Linked DNA regions of Pelodiscus sinensis. The main gene of each other region encodes a partner of the protein of the gene in region 2 in a complex. Links are inferred from orthologs where the notes say so. Each region holds a gene or a part of one and is shown on either strand. Other genes may lie near its edges.

Evidence for each region.
Region 1: the proteins of XIRP2 (region 2) and NEBL are in contact, whole or in part, in a crystal structure (PDB 4F14), measured with the Homo sapiens proteins. The link is inferred for Pelodiscus sinensis from reciprocal best matches to the Homo sapiens genes XIRP2 and NEBL. Residues at the interface, in NP_689594.4 of Homo sapiens: Pro2420, Pro2421, Pro2422, Thr2423, Leu2424, Pro2425, Lys2426, Pro2427; in NP_006384.1 of Homo sapiens: Tyr963, Asp964, Tyr965, Asp969, Asp971, Glu972, Ile987, Asp988, Asp989, Gly990, Trp991, Met1004, Pro1006, Asn1008, Tyr1009.

What each region holds. Positions count from the first base shown.
Region 1 is NC_134712.1:221,697,084-221,709,569, reverse strand, and holds the start of NEBL (nebulette), read left to right. Parts: upstream 1-6,982; 5' UTR 6,983-7,205; coding exon 7,206-7,265; intron 7,266-7,355; coding exon 7,356-7,427; intron 7,428-12,486. UniProt on the Homo sapiens protein: Binds to actin and plays an important role in the assembly of the Z-disk. May functionally link sarcomeric actin to the desmin intermediate filaments in the heart muscle sarcomeres.
Region 2 is NC_134717.1:37,959,715-37,971,954, forward strand, and holds the start of XIRP2 (xin actin-binding repeat-containing protein 2), read left to right. Parts: upstream 1-7,407; 5' UTR 7,408-7,984; coding exon 7,985-8,137; intron 8,138-9,997; exon of another isoform or gene 9,998-12,240.

The DNA.
Region 1 (12,486 bases), on a different chromosome or scaffold from region 2:
GACATTCAAGGCTAAATTAGAGCTAGATAACTGCACAGAACACTGAGAACTAGGACTGGTGGCTGTAAACACACTTCAGGTGACTGAGGAAAACCTGTCAACCCCCATGGTAAGTGGACATACAGCTAACTAAAATTGTGCTGGGCCAGAGAATGCTGGACTAGAGAGGTTCAACCTGTATTAGAAAATTCAGATACAACAAATACAGATAACCAAGCCAATTTCCAACAAAGCCTACGAGGAAGAAATCATGTGTGTCTTGGAAAAATATATAGCTTAAGCTTTCAGGGGAAAAAAAGTCACAAAATGGGCGAGGGTTACCAACTGATGGATCTAATTATAGCAAAAACAAAATGTACAAGTAAAGAGCTAATTTTCCCATTGTGCTTCATGGGAGTCCACCTGTTAGGCAACTGGATTCTAAACAGCAGTGGCACAAGAAAACTCACCAGAGAAACATATATACAGGGTAGATGCCCTATATCCCAGATATTGCTACACTGAAAATACTGCTGCCAGAGAGTCCATCAGTTGAAGTTCCTATATCAGTTCCATAATGTTTATTTGTATGGTAGAGATTCCCAAACTGCAGTCAGGTACATCTTTTCTAAAATGATAGATTATCTTAAACCCTATTTGAGTGTGATCTGACTGGATGAGGAATGGGAATGTCTTCTGTCTTATAAGATTAGCTGATGGAAAATAAAAACCTGTCTATTTATTTGGTTCCTGTAATCCTTTCTTCTGCATGGGATCTGCAAACCAATCAAGTGTTCTTTTTACTTGAAAGATATTAAGGTGAATTCTTGAGTCCTCATTATACTGACTTTCATAGTTTTTCCTTAGAAGAAAATAAATCTGGACAAGATGCAGATTTTAAGAAGTGTTTGATGCAGTACCTGACTACCCTTTTTAGCTTAGTTTGAATAGATTTAGAAGAAGAGGAGCTACAGTCCCTATTCAATTTCCCTTCTACTTCTGATATATAGGATATGGTTGCTTCTTCTTCCATAGAAACATTGAGCAGCCTACTCAAGTGAACATTACTTTTCTGGAGGAATTTATCAAGACCATTGTGATATACATTGTTCTATAAGTTATGACACGTTTTGCACCTTCTTCTGAAGTAGTTACAGGTCATCCTTGCTATAAGTTCAAGATATCATAGAATCATAGAATACTAGGACTGGAAAGGATCTCGAGAGGTCATCGAGTCCAGTCCCCTTCCCACATGGCAGGACCAAATGCTGTCTAAACCATCCCTGATAGACATTTATCTAACCTACTCTTAAATATCTCCAGAGATAGGGATTCCACAACCTCCCTGGGCAATTTATTCCAGTGTTTGACTGCCCTGACAGTTAGGAACTTTTTCCTAATGTCCAACCTAAACCTCCCTTGCTGCAGTTTAAGCCCATTGCTTCTTGTTCTATCCTCAGAGGCCAAGATGAACAAGTTTTCTCCCTCCTCCTTATGACACCCTTTTAGATATCTGAAAATGGCTATCATGTCCCCCATCAGTCTTCTCTTTTTCTAAACTAAACAAACCCAATTCTTTCAGCCTTCCTTAATAGGTCATGTTCGCTAGATCTTTAATCATTCTTGTTGCTCTTCTCTGGACCCTCTCCAATTTCTCCACATCTTTCTTGAAATGCGGTGCCCAGAACTGGACACAATACTCCAACTGAGGCCTAACCAGCACAGAGTAGAGCGGAAGAATGACTTCTCGTGTCTTGCTCACAACACACCTGTTAATGCATCCCAGAATCATGTTTGCTTTCTTTGCAACAGCATCACACTGCTGACTCATATTCAGCTTGTGGTCCACTATAATCCCTAGATCCCTTTCTGCCGTATTCTTTCCTAGACAGTTGCTTCCCATTCTCTGTGTGAAATGGATTGTTCCTTCCTAAGTGGAGCACTTTACATTTGTCTTTATTAAACTTCATCCTGTTTACCTCAGACCATTTCTCCTATTTGTCCAGATCATTTTGAATTATGACCCTATCCTCCAGATTAGTCACAACCCCTCCCAGCTTGGTATCATCTGCAAACTTAATAAGCGTACTTTCTATGCCAATATCTAAATCGTTGATGAAGATATTGAACAGAGCCGGTCCCAAAACAGAGCCCTGCGGAACCCCACTTGTTATACCTTTCCAGCAGGATTGTGAACCATTAATAACTACTATCTGAGTACGATTATCCAGCCAGTTATGCACCCACCTTATAGTAGCCCCATCTAAGTTGTATTTGCCTAGTTTATTGATAAGAATATCATGCGAGACCGTATCAAACGCCTTACTAAAGTCTAGGTATACCACATCCACCGCTTCTCCCTTATCCACAAGACTCGTTATCCTATCAAAGAAAGCTATCAGATTGGTTTGACAGGATTTATTCTTTACAAATCCATGCTGGCTGTTCCCTATCATCTTGCTACCTTCCAAGAGTTTACAGGTGATTTCCTTAATTACTTGCTCCATTATCTTTCCTGGCACAGAAGTTAAACTAACTGGTCTGTAGTTTCCTGGGTTGTTCTTATTTCCCTTTTTATATATGGGCACTATATTTGCCCTTTTCCAGTCTTCTGGAATGTCTCCTGTCTCCCATGATTTTCCAAAGATGATAGCTTAGAGGCTCAGATACCTCCTCTATCAGCTCCTTGAGTATTCTAGGATGTATTTCATCAGGCCCTGGTGACTTGCAGGCATCTAACATTTCTAAGTGATTTTTAACTTGTTCTTTTTTTCTTTTATGTTCTAAACCTCCCCCCTTCCCACTTGCATTCACTATGTTAGGCATTCCTTCAGACTTCTTGGTGAAGACCAAAACAAAGAAATCATTAAGCATCGCTGCCATTTCCAAGTTTCCTGTTACTGTTTCTCCCTCCTCACTGACCGGTGGGCCTAACCTGTCCTTGGTCTTCCTCTTGCTTCTAATGTATTTATAAAAAGTCTTCTTGTTTCCCTTTATTCCCGTAGCTAGTTTGAGCTCATTTTGTGCCTTTGCCTTTCTAATCTTGCTCCTGCATTCCTGTGTTGTTTGCCTATATGTTCCAAAAAACGTGAACTTATAGCAAAACAACTTAAAGTGGGAAATGCATTAGTTCCTACAGGCATCAACGACTTTAGTGCAGAATGGATGTATACCCGAGCGACTTATAGCGGGGACACCCTGTACTCCAGATGACATTTTGCAAAATAACTAGTAAAAAACCCCAAACCCACTATGAAATGTTTCAGCAGATCAGAATTGACAGAGGGCAAAGTAGCGTCATACCACACTGATGCTAATAATTGAAGTTCTTGATTACTCAATTTATCTGTTTTTCTTCTCCTTTAGTACATTGTGGTACACACTACATAATACATCTGTAAGAGTAAGCGTCAGGGTTTTTTTTTTTTTTGCTTGCTTTTTAAATCCTTGTGCAATTGGGTTGTACTAAATCTATGATGATTTTATGCTGGAAAGGCTGGCTGTGGATTGCAGTATTTATACTGGAAAGTGTTTTCTTACTAGAGCACAAGGTAAGTGCATGTTTTTGTGGTTAAACTGTGGGAAAACATTTATGATCATTTTAGTGATGTAAACAGTGTTAGGGTAAATTCAGGCTATATTTTATGGTAGTACCTCTAGTTTGTTTTTTACTAGAGTAAAAATAAGAGCAACATAAATGATAGCTGTCCCACCTTCTCAGAAGTGGCTGGCGTGTCCCTCTCTGCTGCCTTGGGGTGGGATCAGGGGGCCTCTGCACTGCCCCTACCCCAAGTGATGGCTCTGGGAGCAACAGCCAACGGGAGTTGTGGGGGCAATGCCTTCAAGCAGGGGCAGCGTGCAGAGCCACCAAGCTCCCTTACCTAGGGGTTGCAGAAAGGCTGCTTTGGAGAGTGATGTGGGGACAGGGCAAGCTGGAAGCTTTCCTTGGCCCCACTGCACTGTTGATCAGCCCCATTAGGTAAACGCCTGGCCAGAGCCTGCACCCTCACCCTCTCCTGCACCCAACCCGCGCTTGAGCCCTGAACTTCCTTCCACATCTAAACTCTCTTCCAGAGTCCGTACCACTTCTGCACCCCAATCCTGTCCCCTAGCCCCGAGCCCCTGCTTCACCAAAATTCCCTTCCAGAGCCAGTACCCCATCCTCCATCCAAAACCCTTCTCCAGGCTCAGCCCAGAGCCCCCTCCCACACTGCAAACCCTTTATCCCCAGTCAAATGAAAATAAGTGAAGGTTTGGGAGAGCAAGTCATGGAGGAAGTCATGGTTGTGGGCCTTGCAGAGGGGGTGGAGGAAGAAGGTGAGGCACGGGTGGGTACATGTGTATAGACAGGCACCAGGGAAACTAACACTCCTACCCCCTGCATTTTAAACTATGTAGTCTTAGTTTTTCTTAACAAATCTCTTTCGGGACTGTATTTCAGTGAGCTTATTGCCAAAAGAGTTGCTTCTCTGTCACTTTGTTGGATGACATATTATCCAGCAGAGCCCTGTGTTTTTGGTGGACGGCCGGCATCTGATAGTGTCTGCTTAGTGCCTTCTGTCCCCTGGAGACTGCCACACCGAATCGTTCTATATTGTATTATAGCTGTGGTGGTGTGTTGTGGCATGATTTCCCTTCCACTCCCTTAGAAATTGTAATTTTGGCATTTCTTTCCTCAATATGATTAGTTATGAAACCCTCAATTCTCTAGATGTGTAGCTAATGGAAGTCTGCTGAAAGGTCCAGCATATTTGAATAAACTGTGGGCTGGAGGGAGGAGGAGGCCTATAAAAAATATAGCTGATCCTGCTCTTTCAGAAATAAAAACTTAGATTATGGTAAGGAAAAAGCTGATCTTGCTATGGAGAAAACATTGCAGGAAAATTACAATTAAGATGTAATTACTGTTGCATCAGTACTCTGAATATCCATTATTTGTAGTGTTAATCTTTTAAGTAATCTAAAAATCCAAGCAGTTCAGAATTTGTAATTTTTGACCAGTTGACTTTCAGTGGAAAAATAGCAGCTTAGCCCATGCTGAAGTTTTGCAAAATGTAGCAATTACTTTTATGCTTATTAAAGTCTCCTCCATTCTCCCTTAATTATTCTGACATCTTTCCTTTCCAAATATATTGAATTTGGGGGAGGAACAAGGAAATTTTAAGTGCAGAGCCTTTTATTTATAATGCAGAGATATTTGCGTTTTTCAACATTTCACCTTGGTATCAACACCAGAAGTCCACAACTCATCGCTGTACTGCATTTGTGTTGTCTATAACAAGTGCTCTGTATGCCAGAGAAGCGAATTGCCACATCATGTAGCAATTACTATAGTTGCCCAGAAAGACATTTATTATGCCTGACATTTGCAGAAGTGACCAGTTGTTGTGAGTGCTTGACCTCACCATTGTAGCAAAAATTGTCCAATTGTTGTTGTTGGAGATTTTGGGGCCCAATTTTTAGAGATGCGGTATGTACCTACAGCTCCTAAAGAAGTCAATGGGAAGTGTGGCGGCACAACAACTCAGGAAATCAGGCCTTATGGGTGTCAATTTGGGTGCCCACAATGACTGTCACTCTCAAAATGTAGGAGCTTATTTATTAAAACAGCAAGATAAGTCATTTGAAATCTTTGTCTATCATTAATGCATAAGTGCCTTCTGTCTGTGGGTTACAGTAGGTTGAGAGTTGTCTGTTTTTCTCAAATATTAAAAAACTCTAAACCTCCTTATACTTTTTGCTCAGGCACAAATGTTCTGTTTGTTTTCATGTCTTTTTCTAATGAAGTGCTCTTGTTCCAAACAACAAATGGGAGGCATATGTTAGCCACAATTACATTTTGGTATTTTGGGAAGTTTACATTCAAACACTACACATTCCTTATGTTTTCTATGTGGATATCGGCTCCAAGAACACATAGAAATCTACTACCATAGACCTGTGAGATGAAGCCTGGATGTGGACTTCACTGCAGTGGAATCTCTTTGTGGGATGCAGTATGAAGTTGTGATGTGATGTGGTAGCATTAGGAAAATAAAATCACATTTAGAATGATTGTCGATCCAGCTAGCTTTTTTACTTTGAACCTTACAATACATTCGTACAGAGCAGCAGGTGAAATAACTTCTTCTAGTAGTAAGGCAGCTTCCATTCCAATAGATCTATGCTCAGAGCAGCTGGGGCGCTGCCGGGTAGGTCCCCACAGCGCCGCACCTCAGCACTGCGGGGATCAACCCAGCAGCACCCCAGCTGCTCTACCCCAGGTGTCCCCAAGTTAGCCGCTGCTGAAACTGATCAGCGGCTGATTCCAGGAAGACCGGGGGAGGGGCAGCTAGTTTCCCCTCCCCCCCCCCCCCCAGCAGACCAGGGAGATGCGGGTGGCGGGACCGCCGAGACGCGCCGCGGTCCCGCCCGCGAGCTCCGCGGCTTTGCTCCGCGTCTCCCTGGTCTGCTGGGGGAGACGTAAGTCGGATCCGCGTAACTCGGGGACTGCCTGTATATGTATGATCATGGTATATTATCTTCTGTAGAGTGTTGATATGTGTGTATGTATGAATATTACTTTAGCTGATATGAGGCCGGAAGCATTTTAAGAGTATTGAAAGGAACATTTTAGATTTCATCCTTACAGAAAGGAACCTTTTCAGTTAGGAGCATGAAAAATAACATATATTACATTCTAAAATTACATTTAATAAAGCATTTGTGAATTATCCAAACTCTCTGTATTAGAAAAGTAAGGGTATATGTTCCTTTTCTGTACAAACTTTATTTAGACTGAGTGAAGAAGTTTTATGACAGCTGATTTGGGGTCTGAGATATCTTAAAAGCTAGAACTGAATGGTTTCCCCATAATATTAGGATTCATGTCACCCTTTTGAGCCAGCTAATTTCATTAAATTATTTACCTTGCATAGTTACTGAATTACAGTGCTTTAATTAAATGTGTCTTAGACATTTAGGCATTGTTTACTTATACTTTATCTGTAAGAAAGCACTAGCTCGGTTAGCAAGGCCATCTGTAATGTCTTCTAGGTCACTCATATGGAATTTTTCTGATAAAGACTTTCAAGTGTTGTCTAAATAAGGAAGAAGCCTTGGTAAGGTTAAACTTAGTGAAGGACACAAGAGGAGCCTACATCATAGAAAAGTAGTAGAACATAAACAGTTTGCTGTAGCAGTGGCCTTTTACATTTTTAACTATATTTTTTAAATATTAAAAAAGAATGCCTCTCATTCAGGATTTCAAGGAGGATGAAAGTGAAGAGGAGGAAGAAGAAGAAAAGGTGGTGGCAGTGATAACTGAAAAGGAGCTTCTTTTTTCACTGTTTTAGGTTAGTGATATTGAAATGCTTTCTTTTTTTTTTTTTTGATAGGTGTTCCTTAAGCCTGTTATTGAGGACAGAAACATGGAACTGGCCAGAAGATGCACTGAAATTATAAGTGATGTAAGTGATTGTAACCATTTGTATCCTTTAATTAAATTCCTTTCTTTAAAAGTTTTTTTGTATTATTCTTATTTCTTCGTATTTGTAAAATGTAGCTGGAGGTGCCCATCCTAAATTCTGAGCGCCTGCATGATAGAGTAAAACATACAATAATAATATAAAGGTGCTATCAAAGAATATATGTATGAGGAAACTCCATTAAAGAGTGATAGTATCTCCTAAAGGCACTCAGTTAACAAATGCCAAATGAGTTATTAAAGGAATCTAATGTATGTCTTTATTTGGCACACATACATTGGATCAGATCCTTAGTGGTCATAATTTTGAGGAGTTCTATTTTACATCCGTTTTATTTGTCAGCTGAGGACCTGGTCCTCTGAGTGAATTATGAAAGTGGAGGTTTGGGTTTGTATTTATTGTGGAAACTTGAGTCCCAGGAGGAACTTTGCAAATGTGCAGTAATTGAGGTTCTGTTTGTGATGGGATTGCTTTCCTTCGTGGATTAAGTATATATAGTTACTAACAGCAAGATAAACCATTATATGAGAGATGGTGATTTGCCTTTAATGATCTTTCTAACCAGCTCTAGGCTGGGATGTTTTGGCTCTTGAGTAGCAGGACTACAAATTGGGGGCTGGTTCACCTTGTATTATAACATGATGTATAAACATTTTGTGACACTATTATCCAAGGTGAATAAGTATGTTGACTTTGTGAGATTAATACATGCAGAAACTAGACTACAGAGGATGCAGAAAATTCATTACTGGAGGATGTTTATTCAGGAAGAATAGATGGCCACTAGAAAAATGATTAATCTGGAATGGAGTTATCATGCTGGGTAGAGAATGAAGCTTGAAAGGGTCAAAACTTTTTTTCTGCCTGAATGTTGTGTGGGAATACGTTAATTTTGGTGTGGGCTGGGTATTAGATACAGCCTTAAGAGAGGCCAGTAAGATGATAACTCAGTAACATCAAATTATCTTAAGAAGTTATACAAGTTATATTAATATTTTTATCAAAGGTACTAATGGTTATCCATGTGTTTTTATTGGAAAGGTACTGAGTTTAATACAATACAAGCCTGTCAAGTCAGATAAAAGCCACAGTGAAAATGAAGCATTAAGTTGACCTGAAAGCCATTTATTCTTTCAATACTACTCATTTCTAGACGTAATTGATTGCTGTCACAAAGTCAAAAAATACCCTGAACAGTGCTGATAAACTCTTTCTTTAAATTAGGAATTATTATTGAAAAGTGTATCGGTGGTTGTGGTGGCTGCTGCTATTGTTCAGTAGATAAATATTATGAATATAACTTTCTTTCATTTTTTTTGTGTAGGTTTGGAGGCTAAAATGAATAAATAAGTTAAAATGAGCTTCAAACTCAGTAATGGTTCAGAGAGGCAGCTTTTGGTGAAAGTGTGTGTTAGATTTTCACTGAGATATGTGAAGCTTTCAAAGGATAATGATTCCTAATCCTGCATGATATTATTATAAGAAGTTGTAATGGTCCAGAGCCAATATAATATGAAAGGGAATTCTTTTTAATATACTAAAATGGAACCCACATTTTGAGCCTGATCCATTACTCACTAAAATCATTGGATTTGTTTTTATTGGGTATAGTGGGTATTAGAGCAGGTTCAAAGTAAATTTTTTTAATCCTTCCAAACCTTCACCCTAACTGAATTTTCACTATCACTAGAAAAGCCCTACAGTTCTCAGGGAGGAAATTCCCCCTCTATAACTTCTTCATTCTAGGAATGGTGCCAGAATCTCTTAACTCTTTTTAGTTACAAGAAGACGCACACAGCTATGAAGCTGCTGGCAGTTTCTAGGGGAATTGTCTTCACTTGCTTCTGCCAGCAGCTGCACCAAGTTTGGGAACAGAGCACAGTGAATATTCCAGTTTGCTTTTGGATCCAACCATGTTTATAGCTCTTTTTTATAAACATTTTACACAACTATTTAGGGAGGAGCTATTATTCACGCAAATATGGAGATGGATTAGTGTATTTACTTGGTAATGAACAAAATTTACCTGAAAACCTCTCTCTCTCTATACACATACACCCATGTGAACACACACGCACACAGAGGCTTTCAGACCCAATTTGCTCATTGCCAAGTGGAAAATGTGGAAGGGAAAGGGACTTGCAATGAAGGTAATACGGGAAAGTCCAACAGAAATAGGTTTTAATGACTTTGTGTGGCTTGCAGTTTTACCCTAAAATGACATTGTGATAGCTGGAGCACATGACCTTATGACTACAAGCCTGGGTTATTTTCTTTCCTTCCTTGCGAGGCTGTCAACACATATTCTGTCAAAATGGAATGGCATGATTGCTCATAGCTTGAGATATAATGATGGTGGTATTCTCATCTTTCATGCTTTAGTATCTGACTTGAAATTGGCACTATTATTGTTAAAGCCCTTTATGGCATGTAAGCCTCTGGTCTTGTTCAGGGAGGTATCTGTTCTCACATGCCACTGTTCCAACAATTCTTCCATTGCAGTCAGCCGATGTTCACACTTTGTGATGATCCCTATGTTGCTTCCCTCTCAGATACATCCAATTTAATTTCTTTTAATTAAATAATAGTTTTAAAGATGCCTTTAATTTTCACTTATGTTGGACTTTTGCGTGACTTTCCTTTCTAGCCCCTTTGCTTTCAACATTTACATTGGATGCCTTAATTTGTTTTTATTGTTCTTTTTTAAAAGGGGATATGGGTGCTGTTGTGGGGGAGGTAGGAAGCTGAATACAAATAAAGTTGTTAAGCAAATAATCTTAGTCCTTTTATAGAAGGAAAATAGCTTGCCTCTTGATTCATCATACTGTATTTCAGATGTGCATGTTGCTAATGTTTCCTTTAGCAAATTCCAATTAAATATAATGCTGCTCACTATCTAATTTGCCACATAATGTAGTCCAAATTGTAGTTCTTTCTGATTCAGCATCTCCTTGCCATTGGTTGGACATTGTGAAGATTAGATCCTGCCAGAACTTTAATTGCCGTTTTTGTGAATTAATAGTGTTTAATGATAGCTAATAAAAATTAATTGAAAATGAATTTGTTGCCGTTCGGATTTCCTTTGTTTTCTTGTCTTTAACTACAAGAGAATTCTAGGTACTACACTGTGGTTCTGAGAATTGTCCGTAAACTGGAGACAAAAATTATTTATTGTTGGTTAAAATGAGAAGAGTAATTATGACTCGGTTAACTGTTGTTTCAAGCTGTTTTTCTCTGTATTGGATATTGAATGTGAATGCATGATAAATTATGTCTTAATTAAATCCTTATTGAATGTAATTTCTCTAATGTTTCAGAGTTTGATTTTCATTTTAAGATTCATATCCAATTTGAACAAATTGTTCAGGATATCATTTGTTGCTGTTAAAAGCTAATAATAGCCGGTGTGTACCATTGTTCCTGTGCCAGATTCTGCCCTCAATTACACATGTGCAAATGTATTGAGCGTATCCATATAACTTCTGTAGGGCTGCATAGTGACTGAATTTGAACTAACAGAGTTTGGTCCTTTGACTCTTCTTTTGCAATTGTATCCCACTCAGTACACCTACTCAATGTAGCTTTCTGTTTCCCATCTAGTGGGATCTGCAGTACATAAGTGTTCAAGAGGCAGCTACTGCCTTTCAGTTAACAGATGAGTCTTTTAGCTCAGTTGCTGAGACATACGTTTTTGATTCAGAAGTCCTGGTTTGACTGCTTCTGCTGCTGATCCACCCATGAGCATTGTGTGACAAATAGTGGCCCCTATCAGGTGTTAAGCTGAAATTATTTCTGCAGGTTGGAATAAGATTCCATTATAGGATTCTGTGTGTAGTTCATTCCTACTAATTGTAGCAGTCTGTATTTCTGTAGTGACTGAGCCATGCATAAAGGTTAATGAGCCTAATCTAGCCTTGCCTAGGAAATTCAGATCTTTTAACTCAGGCAGTAGAGGCTTATGCTTTTAGAGTCAAAGGTACCGGGTTTAACCCCTGCTGTCACGGCCTTCTGAGAGGCATCACATTATGTTGGAATTTCAAATACTGGTTTCTAGACACATTTACTGGTTTTAGGGACACATTTTCAAAGCTGGACATAGACATGCCTGCTTGCAATTCATTGAAGGCACAAATACCAGATGTGTTTGTACAAATGGCTACATAGGCTCCTAATTGGCACTGTGAACATGCAAATACTCTATGCACATGCAGCATATATTTGTGCACATAATTTTCAATACATAGCTATATATGTGCAAAACTGTATGTGCCTAAATATGAAAAATTGGCATTTAAATTTCAGATTGCTTCCATTTAAAATAAATATCAAGTACAACATTAATTCATTAAGGACCCAATCCAACTCCCATTGAATTCAAGTTAAAGACTCACATTAACTCCAATGGAAATTGGCTCAAGCCTTAAATTATGAGGTTTAAAGGTCATGTTCTCCCAGAAGAGGCTGATTTATCCAAAAGGGGCCTTAAAGTTCACTATCTCTCTGTCAACAGCTGAACAAAATAATTTGCAGTTACTTTGGAAAGAAAAATGTATATTTACCTTTTTTACCTAAGTGCTGGCTACATATGCAGCCTAATTTAAAAAGTTTAAGTATATTTTTATCATGACTCAAATAAATTCACAGGAACAATAACTGTAATTTTTACTGATGGATTAGAGCTCTGTAATAAGATGATTTCCTGTTGATCTGAACACAGAGAAACTGTTTTATTTTACATAGTATATCATGCATAAACCCATAGCTTATACTAGTAGGCAGTTTAGGATTCTTGATGTCTGAAAGTTGTGTGTGTGTGTGTGTGTGTGTGTGTGTGTGTGTGTGTATGTATGTAGTGGAGACAGAAAAACTATTACTTTTTAATGTGTTTAATGTGTTTTTTCTGTATGGTCCCTGCCTGACTACACATGAGACTGTTACAGGCGTGGCTCAAGAGGGTATACAAACCACACACACACACACACACCATCTAAACAGATCTTCCCAGTTACATTCATACCATCTAAACAGATAGCTTTCGATG
Region 2 (12,240 bases):
TCCTTGGTCGTAGCTTTCTGAACAAACCTGTATTCCTATAGATGCATCTTTCCTGACCACCCCATGTTAATGTCTCTGAAATACTCTCTGTGATCTAGCATTTGACTGCAGAAACATTGAAAAATACCTTTCAGTTTATGTACTCTTTGGCAGGATGGTCCGGTCCAAGACAGAGGATGTGGGTGCCATCTATTGCTCCACTACAGTTGGGAACCCTATGAAGGCCAAACCTTCCACACTGTCCTGAACATTGTCCACAGTCATTACCCTTAGCAGAAGTCAATTAATTGACCTTCACACTTAGGGTATGTCTACACTACAGCGTTATTTTGAAATATCTTATTTCGAATTAGTTATTTCGAAATAGCTTATGTCTACACACAAAATGCATTTCAAAATAGCTTTTTGCTATTTCGAAATAGCGTGTCCACACTGAGTGGACGCTGAATCACATTTAAGGCCAGCTGGAATCAGGTCCGGCAGGGCATCAGGTCAGGAGTTACTTTGTGTGGCTGATCCCTGTGCTTAAAGGGATCCCCCCCGGACAGCTGGTTCTCAGCATTCCCTGCTTGCTTGCCTACCTCGATGAGGGACAGCAAAGCATTTTGTCTTTGCATGCTCTGATTGCCCTCACTCAGGATACAACAGTACTCTACAACATGGAGCCAGAGCTGCCCCTGGGCACTCTGGAGCTTCTCGTGGACATGTTGCTGCAAGCCTGGCTGCACTTTCTGCAGGCTGCCATCCGGGCGGTCCATTGGGGGGCTGTCAGTATCCGGGAGGCCCTGCGGGAGAGCTTCCACCCTGAGGAGCACCAAGAGCCTCCCTGGTCTGCCCCACTGGAGGCTTGTGCCTCATTCCTTCCTCACGTCCTTCCACTTACCCCTCCCTAGCCCCCCTTCCTGATGTCAAATCAAATAAATTTATTTCTGTGAACTCAAACTCTCTTTATTTAACAAAATTGAGGGGGGGGGGGGAGAATGAAACTCTGGTGAGACTGGGGAAAGGAGGCGGGAGAGGGGAGAAGAGAGGGTGGGAGAGGGAAACCTGGGAGGAGGGAGCTGGAAGGGGAAAGCAAAGGGAATAAGGGGGAGGGGAAGCTCAGGGCTCAGAGTTGGGGGTCTCTCTGGACCAACTTGATTTTCATGCAAATCTGCTCCTGGGTTCGCATGTGGCCTTTGATGGCCAGGCTGCCAGCTATCCTCCCATAGATGGCCGCATTCCTCTGTCTAGTGCAGAGATCATGGACGTTGGGGGCATCCCTCCTTGACCAGGAAGGCGCCCGCCTTCTCCGGGCCTTGGCAGGCTTCTGGGAGCTGGCAGACTGCTCCTGGGGAGCAGTGGAGGGCTGGCTGCCAGTGGCTTGCTGGCTCATGTTTTGGGGCCACTGGGTCAGGGGCAGTGACTGCTGGCTCTGGGTTGGCAGGCTTGGAGCTGGCACAGGCACTGTGGCCAGAGACAACCCCTTTAAGGGCTCCGGGGAGGGGGGGAGGGAGAGGAGTGTTCTTGGTTGAGGCTCGAGTGGCCACCAGGGCACCCTGGGAAGGCTGGAGGCAGAGGCAGATGATTATTTGCGGGGCCCAGGGCAGCCCAATTTCGCGGGGCCCTCCTTTGCCATGGTGCATGCGCGGGGCTTCTTGAAGCGCGGGGCCCAGGGTGGCTGCCCCACTCGCCCTGGCTTATATCCGCCCCTGGCTGGAGGCCCTCTATTTTGATATAAGTGTCTACACAGGACTTATTTCAAAATAGCTATTTCGAATTTGGAGTTATTCCTCGTGGAAGGAGGTTTACCAAATTCAAAATAAGCACTCCGCTATTTCAAATTAATTTCAAAATAGCGGTTTGGCTGTGTAGACTCTAGTAAAGTTATTTCAAAATAATGGCTGTGTAGAAAACAGTTCCCAAAGTGGATTTTCCATCTCTGAATTGATATCCCACTGTCCAATAATAATCTGGTGTTGCAAGATTCCACAGAGTGATCATCACTTTCTTTTTCCACTGTCAGAGTAGGTCTTATTTTACTGTTGATGCACTTCAGAGCTGCTGTCAGCTTGCATAAAGCTCCTGGGAAGTGGCCTTGTGCATTTGAAAATTCTCCAGCCACTGCTCATCATCCAATAGCTGCATAACAATGCGATCCCACCAGTCAATGCTTGTTTCCTGGGACCAGAAATGGCTCTCTACCATGTTCAGTTGCTGTGCAACTCCCAACTGCAACCAGGAATTGTTTCATTCTATGACTTGCAGCAAGGCAGCTTAAGTAGCATCGAAATATTCCTGCTATCTTGGCTCTGAAAATACAGCAGGTTAAAGCATGGGGTGTTTGTAATGCTCACAACAAGAATGCACAATTGCCTGGGGTCCACGCTTCTTGGACAATGGTGTATGTGTAGCTAAGCAAGGCTTTTGAAAAAAAAAGGTGTAAAAACACCCTGGGTCATTTGCCATTGCTATCAGAGGAGAGAGGGAGGAAGAAAATTGCATCCTGGGAGGTCAAAGCCATATTTCTATTTCCCCTCTGCAACAATGTTTTGATCCCATGAGGCACGGCAAGCTGTTCCTATAAAACACATATTGCTAGTTGCACTGTGGAATAGCTACCTAAGGCGGACGGCTCTGTGCATCGATGTAAGCAATGCTAATGAGGATGCATTCCACCAACACAATGATTATGGTTTGGATGCACAGCTGACTGACTTAACTGCTGCAATTTCTTTAAAAAACACTACTTTCCTGAAGAACAGAAGGACTGTCTAGGAAAAGAAGAACTATTTTTGTTTATATGAAACCTGACTGGTCAATAGCTGGAATTTAGCTAGAACACAAGAATTACAAAGTCTTCATACATAAGGCTGGATTTCAATTTAAATTAAGTGTAAACATGTCCTCAGGCTTTGTAGATTGCAATGTTGTTCCTATGAGGTGCCATGATACTGAGCATTGCAATGACTAAGTCACTGTTGATCCAGGCTGTAATCTTTTTCATGGTGGAAGAATTAGCACATATGTAATCTCTTTACTAGCATGTGCTCCATGACTATATGAGGAAGAATGCTGGTTTGTTGTCACAGTCATACCTGACCTCATATTTGCATTAAAATGCAGTATCTCACCCTACAATACTGACAGCTGTATCAAATCTGAGAGAACAATCAGCACTCACCTGTCATAACAACCTTCATTGCAACACACACTCATTATTCAGCACTCATTCATTAGCTCCTACCTACTGGAAATTCTCCCTAAATGTGCACTTGCATTCATGATAGACAGCAATGCTTCTGGCAATATCTGCATAACACACTTAACTCACTAGCCAATTAACATATTTATACAGCATCAACACACTGAGCCTTTCACTGACTCTATTAATTATATTTTAATGGATCCAATTTAAAAAGTTCAGCTGGTGGATATTGCATTTCAAGATTTATATTTTTAGGTCTTTGAAAAAAATGCATCACTACTTTTTGTCCTTTTAGCTAAGATTTAATAAGTCTTTTCTCTATACTGTAATATCAGCTTAATGTCTGACACTTCCTCTCTAGCCGTACATTTATTTTGGGATACTAGAGGTTTTCCGAAATAGCAACCCCTCATCTACACAAGCCACCCATTATTTCAAAATATTTTTCGAAATAACGGGCGTGCTATTTTGCCATCCTAGTAAACCTCGTTGCATGGGGATAAGGGATGACTTGAAATAGCGTGTTATTTCAAAATTTGGTGCTATGTCGATGTGCCAAATTTCAAAATAAGCTATTTCAAAATAGATTTAAGATAAGATGTGCAATTTGTGTAGTGCAAATTGTGTATCTTATTTCGAGTTTAGGGTGCCGTGTAGATGCACCCTGAGGGATTATTGTTATTTTGCTGGAGGTGAAGGAGGACTCCATGATCTAATGGGCCTTTTCTGTCTCTAACTGCAATAATCCTATACATCACAGACAATGTAGTGTAAAAATGCAGTGTTTTTAGTTAAATGATGTTTATAGCCATGGGAAACAAATGGCAAAATAATGTCCTCCTATTTATACAAAGCTATTATAAGGAGCCAAACACAGGGAGCTACAGAGAAAGAATCTATAAATCACTTTCACAGATGGGCCTGCCTGTGTTCAGTAGTCTGATATCAGCAGTAGTCCAAGAACAAGATACCTAATTAAACATTTCTTTACCTTTAAACAGGTGTGCCAAGAACTATTATCAGTCAGACCAGTGGTCCAGATTTACACAGCCATTATCAAAAGCAGAATTTGGCACATATGTTTTTAAGTAAACCTATTCCTCCTCTCCATTTTCTATTTAATTTCTTTTCTTTTTTGCATAGCGATGGATATACAAAAGCTCATCTGTGTCTAAATTAACTATTTCAGCTCTCCTAGCCTCCTCACCCCATTTCCTTTTTCTTGTAACAAAGTGATATTCTGCTAACTGTGTAGTAATAAGTTCCATACCAAGATACTAGATTGTTTTCATTATCATAATATCTGAATCACTGCCGCATTATTGCAATTTTATGCCTGTCATTAATTTGAATGGAATTGCACATGTATAAAAATGGAGTTACAATGGTAAATTATACCCTTAATTTTTGTAATGGTGAGGGGAAACCAAAATACTGTTGGAACCATGTGTGAGAATAGCTTTTCCCCAAAATATGCAGGCTGTATAAAAAAAAATCATAGTTGAACTAAACTTAGGACACTACATGGAAGAGGACTTGGAGGTAGGGTTACTACAGAGCTGACAGCCTGATACAGGCCACTGAAAACTATATAGACCCATGAAATCAACAGGAGATATTCCATTAACTTATATGGACTGTGAAACAGGCCCTATGTGGTCATAATACACCTGATGTCCATCACTGCCCTAAACATAAACTAATTTTTGCTAATATCATACTTTGGAATCTGACCTAAGGAAAGTTATGAAAGGCTTTCTCCAGTTCTTCTTTCACATAGAGAAACATACACTTTATAACTTTAATATCTCTCTGGTTTCCCACAACAAAACAAAACAAAATCAAAACTTTCTTAGACTTTTTGCTGTGTAGATAGCACCAAAAGCTGAAATAAGCCATTTCAATTTCAGCTACACAATTGGGCTACGTCTACACTGGCCCCTTCTTCGGAAGAGGCATGCTAATTTCTAACTTTGGAATAGGGAAATCCCCCGCGGGATTTAAATAAACATGGCCACCGCTTTTTTTCCGGCTTGGGGAAAATCCGGAAAAGAGCGTCCAGACTGGCGCGATCCTCCGGAATAAAGCCCTTTTCCGGAGGATCTCTTATTCCTACTTCTTTGTATTCATGCCCTATCAGCATCAAAGCAGCTATTTGCATATATGTGCAACTGCACTTAAGTTGCGGCCCTCGGCATGTACTGTGGGTATCATTGTGGACCCCGGGGCTTCCAAAGTTGAGTAGCCCTGGCCTAGACTGTGCCTACTTCTGTGCCTATTTCAGGTAGGAATAAGAGTTTATTTAAATCCCGCGGGGGATATTTAAATCCCCCGCGGATTTCCCTATTCCAAAGTTAGAAATTAGCATGCCTCTTCCGAAGAAGGGGCCAGTGTAGACGTAGCCTTGGTGTAGCTCAGGTGGCGTAGCTTATTTTGGCTTTAGCTCTGCCGAGTAGACATGCCTTTAGACTCAGCCGCTTTATACTGTCAGGCTATGTCTACACAGCAGGCTTCTTGCTCAAGAAGCCTTTTGAGCAAAAACTTCTTGCACAAGAGCACATCCACACCTCAAAGCACATCTCAAAAGTGATGTACATTTGTGCAAGAGAGCATCCACACTGCATGGACGCTCTTGCGCAAGAAAGCTCTGATGGCCTTCTCCGTGAGTGGAGCTGCGCAGCAAGGCACTGAGACAAGCCACATCAACGCATGGGAGGGAGCTGCCTGCTGGCAGGGGGAGGGGAGATATGTGGCAAAAGGTAGCAGCAAAGCATGCCTACCACGTCTCTGCTCTGTGAGGACTGTGGGAGCTGGTGCTTGGTGGGTCAGGCGGGGGAAAGGAAGGGAGTCTGGGAAGCAAGATTCCTGAGTTCCTTTTCTAGCCATGCTACTTCTCTGCTTGGTGCCTTTAACTTCACATTGATTGTACTGATATTGCAGTAAATATTGTATTGGCAGTTTTTGTTTGATTTGTTAAAATTGTGAAGCCAAAACAAAAAAAGAAGTCAATATAATGGTCTTCTATTGATATGTGTTTTTGTAGTTAAATTCCTGGACTGTTGTGAAGACAAAACAAAAAAAAAATCAATATAATGGTCTTCTGTTAATACGTGTTTTAGTAGTTAAATTGCTGAACTGTCATTGCTCATTAAAAGTGCTGTCATATGGGTGGAAATCAGGTAAATATTGCATTTTATTAATATCAGCAGATCTGATTTAAATGGGGCCTGCGCGTTGTGTAGTCTTGCCATACTCTTTGTATTCATGCCCTATCAGCATCAAAGCAGCTATTTGCATATTTTTGCATATATGTGCAACTGCACTTAAGTTGTGGCCCTCGGCATGTACTGTGGGTATCATTGTGGACCCCGGGGCTTCCAAAGTTGAGTAGCCCTGGCCTAGACTGTGCCCAACTAGGAATACAGACCAGAATAGTCTGTTTACTCATTAAAATATAAAAGTCTGCAGTTCTTTTGGCAAGTCTCTAGTACTATATTTTTAACAAATTACGTAAGAAAGCTTTGTAGTTCTTGAATTCAAGCTAAATTCCAGCTATTGACCAGTCAGACCCCATATGAACAAACATGTTCTTTCTTTTCCTGGACCAATGCCTTCTGTTCTGCAGGAAAGTAATGCCCTTTTTAAAAGAACTGCTTTGTTATTCAGTGGAATTCACAGTGTTGGGTAGGAAATTTTCCACTGGAGAATTTCTGAGCCACAGATTTTTTATTGCAAAAATCCCACCACAGGTGTCCAGTCATCCAGGCATGTGTGTAGCTAGGTCAACTATATATATTTGAGATTTTAATTTATCAGAAAAGTCCTGGACAGTTATCCAAATCCAAAGTGCAAATCCAAAGTGTAAATAACAGCTTTCTAATATCTAATGACTGATATCTCTGTGCCTGCGGTATTTCTGAAAGGTACTTTTGTCAATGAAAATCAGGACCTTAAATACCTTTGTGGCTCTGAACTTGACTTTGAAAAACTGGTTTGGGATGGGACTCCATTCAGAGTGGTTGCACCACAATGAAAAAGAATAGTTACTTAATTGCAAGTGACGTGTTTATGATAGGGCTTTGTTTTTGACCAGGAAGTCTTGGAAGTGCTCCAGACCATGAACTTGAGCAATATTTGTTTTTAGAGTTGAGATTATTAGTGATGCTTTTCCCAGCACTTAACAATCAGGGGTTTCCACATAACAGTTCTTTGGTTGGGTGCGTGCTGCATCTAAGGAAATGAGGGGCAATAGGCTTTTCCTGCGCCTGTTTCCTGCTGGCTGGGACCATTTTTCCCCTGGGAAGTTGCTTATGTCATTGACCGCCTGACGTTGCACTTCCAGAGCCGACCCTTGCTTCCCAGTGAGTCCTCGCCTTTGGGCCTGCCCATGTCTGGGTGCGCCTGCGGGGTCCCACTACACGCCAGGCGCGGGCCTGGGACTGGCGGGCGGGTGTCTCCTTCACGCGTTGGTGCCACGTGTTTTGACCCAGCCGCGTGGTGCTTTTGCAGGGCGCCCTGGAGCCGGCGAAGTTCCCGATCCAGAAGGGCTCCCTGGAGCGCCTCAGGCAGCAGTGGGAGTCCGGCGATGCGCTGAGAGCCGGTCCCCGAAGGGACTCCGCGGGAGGCCGCCGCCGCAGGCGCTCGCCAAGCCCGGAGGGGAAGGCAGCTCGCCCCGCGCCAGCAGCAGCGGCCGCCGCCCTGCGGGAGGAGGAGACCCGAGCAGCTGCAGCCGGCGGCCAAGAGGGCCGAGTTCAGAGCCGGCCGCCGGATAAGAGCCGCGGCAGCAGCAGCAGCACCATGGAGAAAGCGCCGCGGGCCAGCGCGGGGGCTGAAGTGGCCAAGGAGGAGGCGCGGGACGGCCGCCGCAGGCTGGAGCGCTTCGCCATCCCCTGGGAGGAGCTGAGAAGCCGCTTCGAGACCCCCAGCGGCGCGGCAGCGGCAGGCAGGCAGGTAAGAGCCATGGCCTGGTGCCACACACGCGCACCCCAGCCAGCGGCAGCAGCGCCCCGGGAAACTTCCCCTGGGCCTGGCCAGGGGCTGCCGTCAACTCAAGCACGTTAGTCCAGAGCCTGCTGCGTCGTCGGCCTGTGGTCACGTAAATGGAAGGAGACGGCCACCAGAGGCACTGACTAAACCACTTTGGGGGCCAGTACCCCACGGCCTGCCCTACAGGAATTCAGAGAGGCGGCTCTTCCTCCGCCTTGTGTTTGCCCTTCTCTCCTGTGCGTGGAGGTAGTAGCTAGGATCTCGGGCTTTTGCCTTGCCATTATGTACAGCACAGGGATGACGAGCTGATTGACTCTCACTGTTTCTTCCACGTTAAGTACATTAGTGTAAAATTGTCTGTGTGTCACAGGAAGATGGAGCAGACAGTGGTCAAAAATCAGCAAGGGAAAGGGGGAAATGAGGTGATACGACAGGAACCATTTTATGAAATGAAGGTGAGATCAATGAGTACACCAAAGCATTTTTAGATTTCTAATGTATTATGTGGATCCACTGTGTGAAGAAATTTTAATGCTCTCTTCTACAGTAGAGATTTGAAAAAGTTACGGGGAAAAGTTACTAAGGATGCTGTTACATTGTTAACTTGGCAATTTCTAGAATAGAATTTGTTTTAATTAGCTCCTTTGCTACTCAAGGAGTCCCTTGGCGCTTTACAATAATAAGATAGATAAGCAGCACAGGGAGTGTGTAGCAGATGAGGTAGGCACTGTGCATTCAACAATAGTTCACACATTACTTTATTCTTTAAAGACTGTTTTACTGAAGGAAACCCATCTGCCCGAAATATGGGCTATCTGAGAGGGCTTTTTTTCCTCAAGTAGTTCCACAAGATCTTTACTTCTCCCTACACAGCCACTGAATTTAATACCTGGCTCTCATCTGTAGATCTCAAAATGCTTTACAAAGGTCAGTGTCATTAGTCCTGTTTTACAGAGAAGTGAATTGACTTTCCCAAGATTATAGACAAAGTAAGAATCTGGATGCTGAAAGCGATGTTTAGCTTTTCCAATCAGAACAGAAAACAAAGTCATTCTGTGATAGAGAGAATGTTTTTTAATGTATTTAATTTAAAAGAAAGACTTAAGGGTGCTGAGAAGAGATGGTTCTGTGTGTGGAAAGCTGGAGAAAGTGTGTGTTATATTTTGGTGGTTACCATCACTACAGACATGAAATAAAGCCCACACAACAAAACTATGAATGCCAGTAGTCCAGCACATTGAATCATAGAACCGGAAGGGACCTCGAGAGGTAATCCAATCCAGTCCCCTGCAAACACACATCAGTTTCTTCCCCATAGAGCTTTCATATAGCAGCTTAAAAATAAAATAAAAACTAAGACATTTATTTACCTTCTGGATGTGTGCATGCTACTTGAAGTGTGCGGGGGGAGGCAGCTCTGTGTCCCCAGAAGGGGAGGGGCCATGGGCAGAAGAGGGAAGGCCAGGGCAATACTCCTGCCCAGCCACCAGAGCTGTGTGTGGTGTGGCAATCCATCAGGGTATGTCTACACTACCACCCTAGTTCGAACTAGGGTGGTAATGTAGGCAACCGGAGTTGCAAATGAAGCCCGGGATTTGAATTACCCGGGCTTCATTTGCATAAAGCCGGGCGCCGCCATTTTTAAATGTCCGCTAGGCTTCCTAGTCCGAACTACCGTTACCCCTCTTGAAACCTCGAAGCCTAGTCTGAACTACCTAGTCCGTGCCGCATGTAGCCGCAAGGCACGAAGTCCGCACTAGCGGACATTTAAAAATGGCAGCGCCCTGCTTTATGCAAATGAAGCCCGGGAAATTCAAATCCTGGGCTTCATTTGCAACTCCGGTTGCCTACATTACCACCCTAGTTCGAACTAGGGTGGTAGTGTAGACATACCCTCAGTGATTTAAAAGGCCTGGGGCTCTGGCCACTGCTGCCTTTGAATCACTGGGCCCCAAGGCAACTGTCACTGGGCCTGAGATAAAGTGCACAAGTGTTGAGGGCTGGGGGCCAACATTGCTCCACAACAACTGCCTCTGCATATATGGATCTTAACAGGAGCATATGCTGCAGTCTTTAGGGTGTTAGGTCTACTAAAGCTACACGATGACTTATCCAAGGTCCATCCTTGCTCATGCTTTTTTTTATAAGACTGTACCTAAACTAATGCAGAAATTCTTTGGTCTAGTTCCCATGTGAGGAGAAGGCTCTCTTCTGTGGTGTCACCCAAAGGAAGAAAATAAATCTATGTAATTAGCATAGTGTAAAGCACATGTTATAAGCCATCTTTTGTAATTAGGGATAAACACTATATTTTTCAAATACATATGTTTAGTTACACTTAATAATTTTTCAGTATAGGGTATACAGGCAGTCCCCGGGTTACATGGATCCGACTTACATCGGATCCCTACTTACAAACGGGGTGAGGCAACCCCGCACTAGCTGCTTCCCCCCAGCAGACCAGGGAAACGCGAAGCTAGCGCCCCCCTCAGCAGACCAGGGAGACGTGGAGCGGCTTTTCTCAGCAGACACCGCATCTTGAGAATAAAGGACTGAGGGAAGTGAGGTGTGGGAGAATAAAACTGAGCTCTGGAGAAATGTTTGGCTAGAGTTTCCCCTACAATATGTACCAGTTCCGACTTACATACAAATTCAACTTAAGAACAAACCTACAGTCCCTATCTTGTACGTAACCTGGGGACTGCCTGTACTTTTGTTATTGCTGAAGTCAGTGGAAGTTTTGTCTGTGAATAGAGTTGCCAGATGGTTTCAACAAAAATACCGGACATACTTAATATTACATCACAATCTCCATTACATCTTATTTAGAAAATACCAGACATTTATATTTTCTCAATTTGTTTCCCGAACAGAAAGCTCAAATACTGGACTGTTGGGTTCAAAGCTGGACACCTGGCAACCCTATCTGTGAAAGCATATGCTTTCTTCAATTATTACAGAGAAGAAATGATCAGAAAGGCCTTGATCCCGCTGTTGGACAAGCAATGAGGAGTAACAGTTAATTTGAGGGAAGGGTTTTGGATCGGACTACTGCGTCTACATGCGGCGAGTTAATTCGGGCTACCAGCTTTTTAAAATGGCGACCGGCCACGAATACGCTAATCAAGCGCGGGATATTTAAATCCCATGCTTCATTAGCAACTTCGGTATGCTTAATTTGTCTTCCTAGTTCGAACTAAGGGGCAAGTATAGACATACCCTAACGTACTACCTACAAAATTACAAGGCTACAGGGGGTAAGGGATTGGAATGCAGGAAGGGGTGTGTGGGATTTGGGAGGGAATCTAGATGGAGGAGGGGATTGTGACCTGGGACAGGTAAGAGGGGTGTAGGGTTTGGGTTACGTAGGGTATGGGTGCAGGAACAGGGCTTGGGGGGGATGGAGCAGCTGGAGAGCCAGAGGCAGGCTCTGGCTAGGAGGTGCTTACCTGAGCGGCTCCCAGTCAGCAGTTCAGCAGGTTCCTTAACCAGATTCCCTGCCTGCTCCACCCCCACACGCTACTCATAGCAGTTGCCTGCATGGGCTACGTGTGCTGCTCTGAACACAGTGAGCCAGGGGGTAGAAGTAATTCTTGCGCTAGCTCCCATTGGCCGGAAACTAGCCAATGAGAGCTGTGAGATTGTGCTGAGGGTGGGAACAGCTAGAGAAGTCTCCTTCCATCCCCCCCCAGCTTGCAGTATTTAGAGCTGCACACATGGTTCCTGCAACTTTGTTGCAAGGGGATGTGGATAGCAACTGCTTTGAACACTAAGGAGAGGGTAAAGGGCTTGTTTATTAAGTTAAAACTGGGAAGGGAGGGGGATCTCACTCATACACTCAACCACACTTACAATCCCAGGCAGGATGATAAGGCAAGCAGAAGTCAGTTCAAGTTATCTGATCTTCCCGTGTTGACTCCTGAGCTGGTCTGCTGGCCAGGCGATCTGAGCAGAGGGCGTTCTCCGGGAGGTTCCACTTGATGGTCAACCCACTGTGTCTGTGCCCCTCTCTCTTTTAAGGATCAGTCACGTGTAGCTTCTGGGTCCCTGGGCCTCTCGGGCTGTGT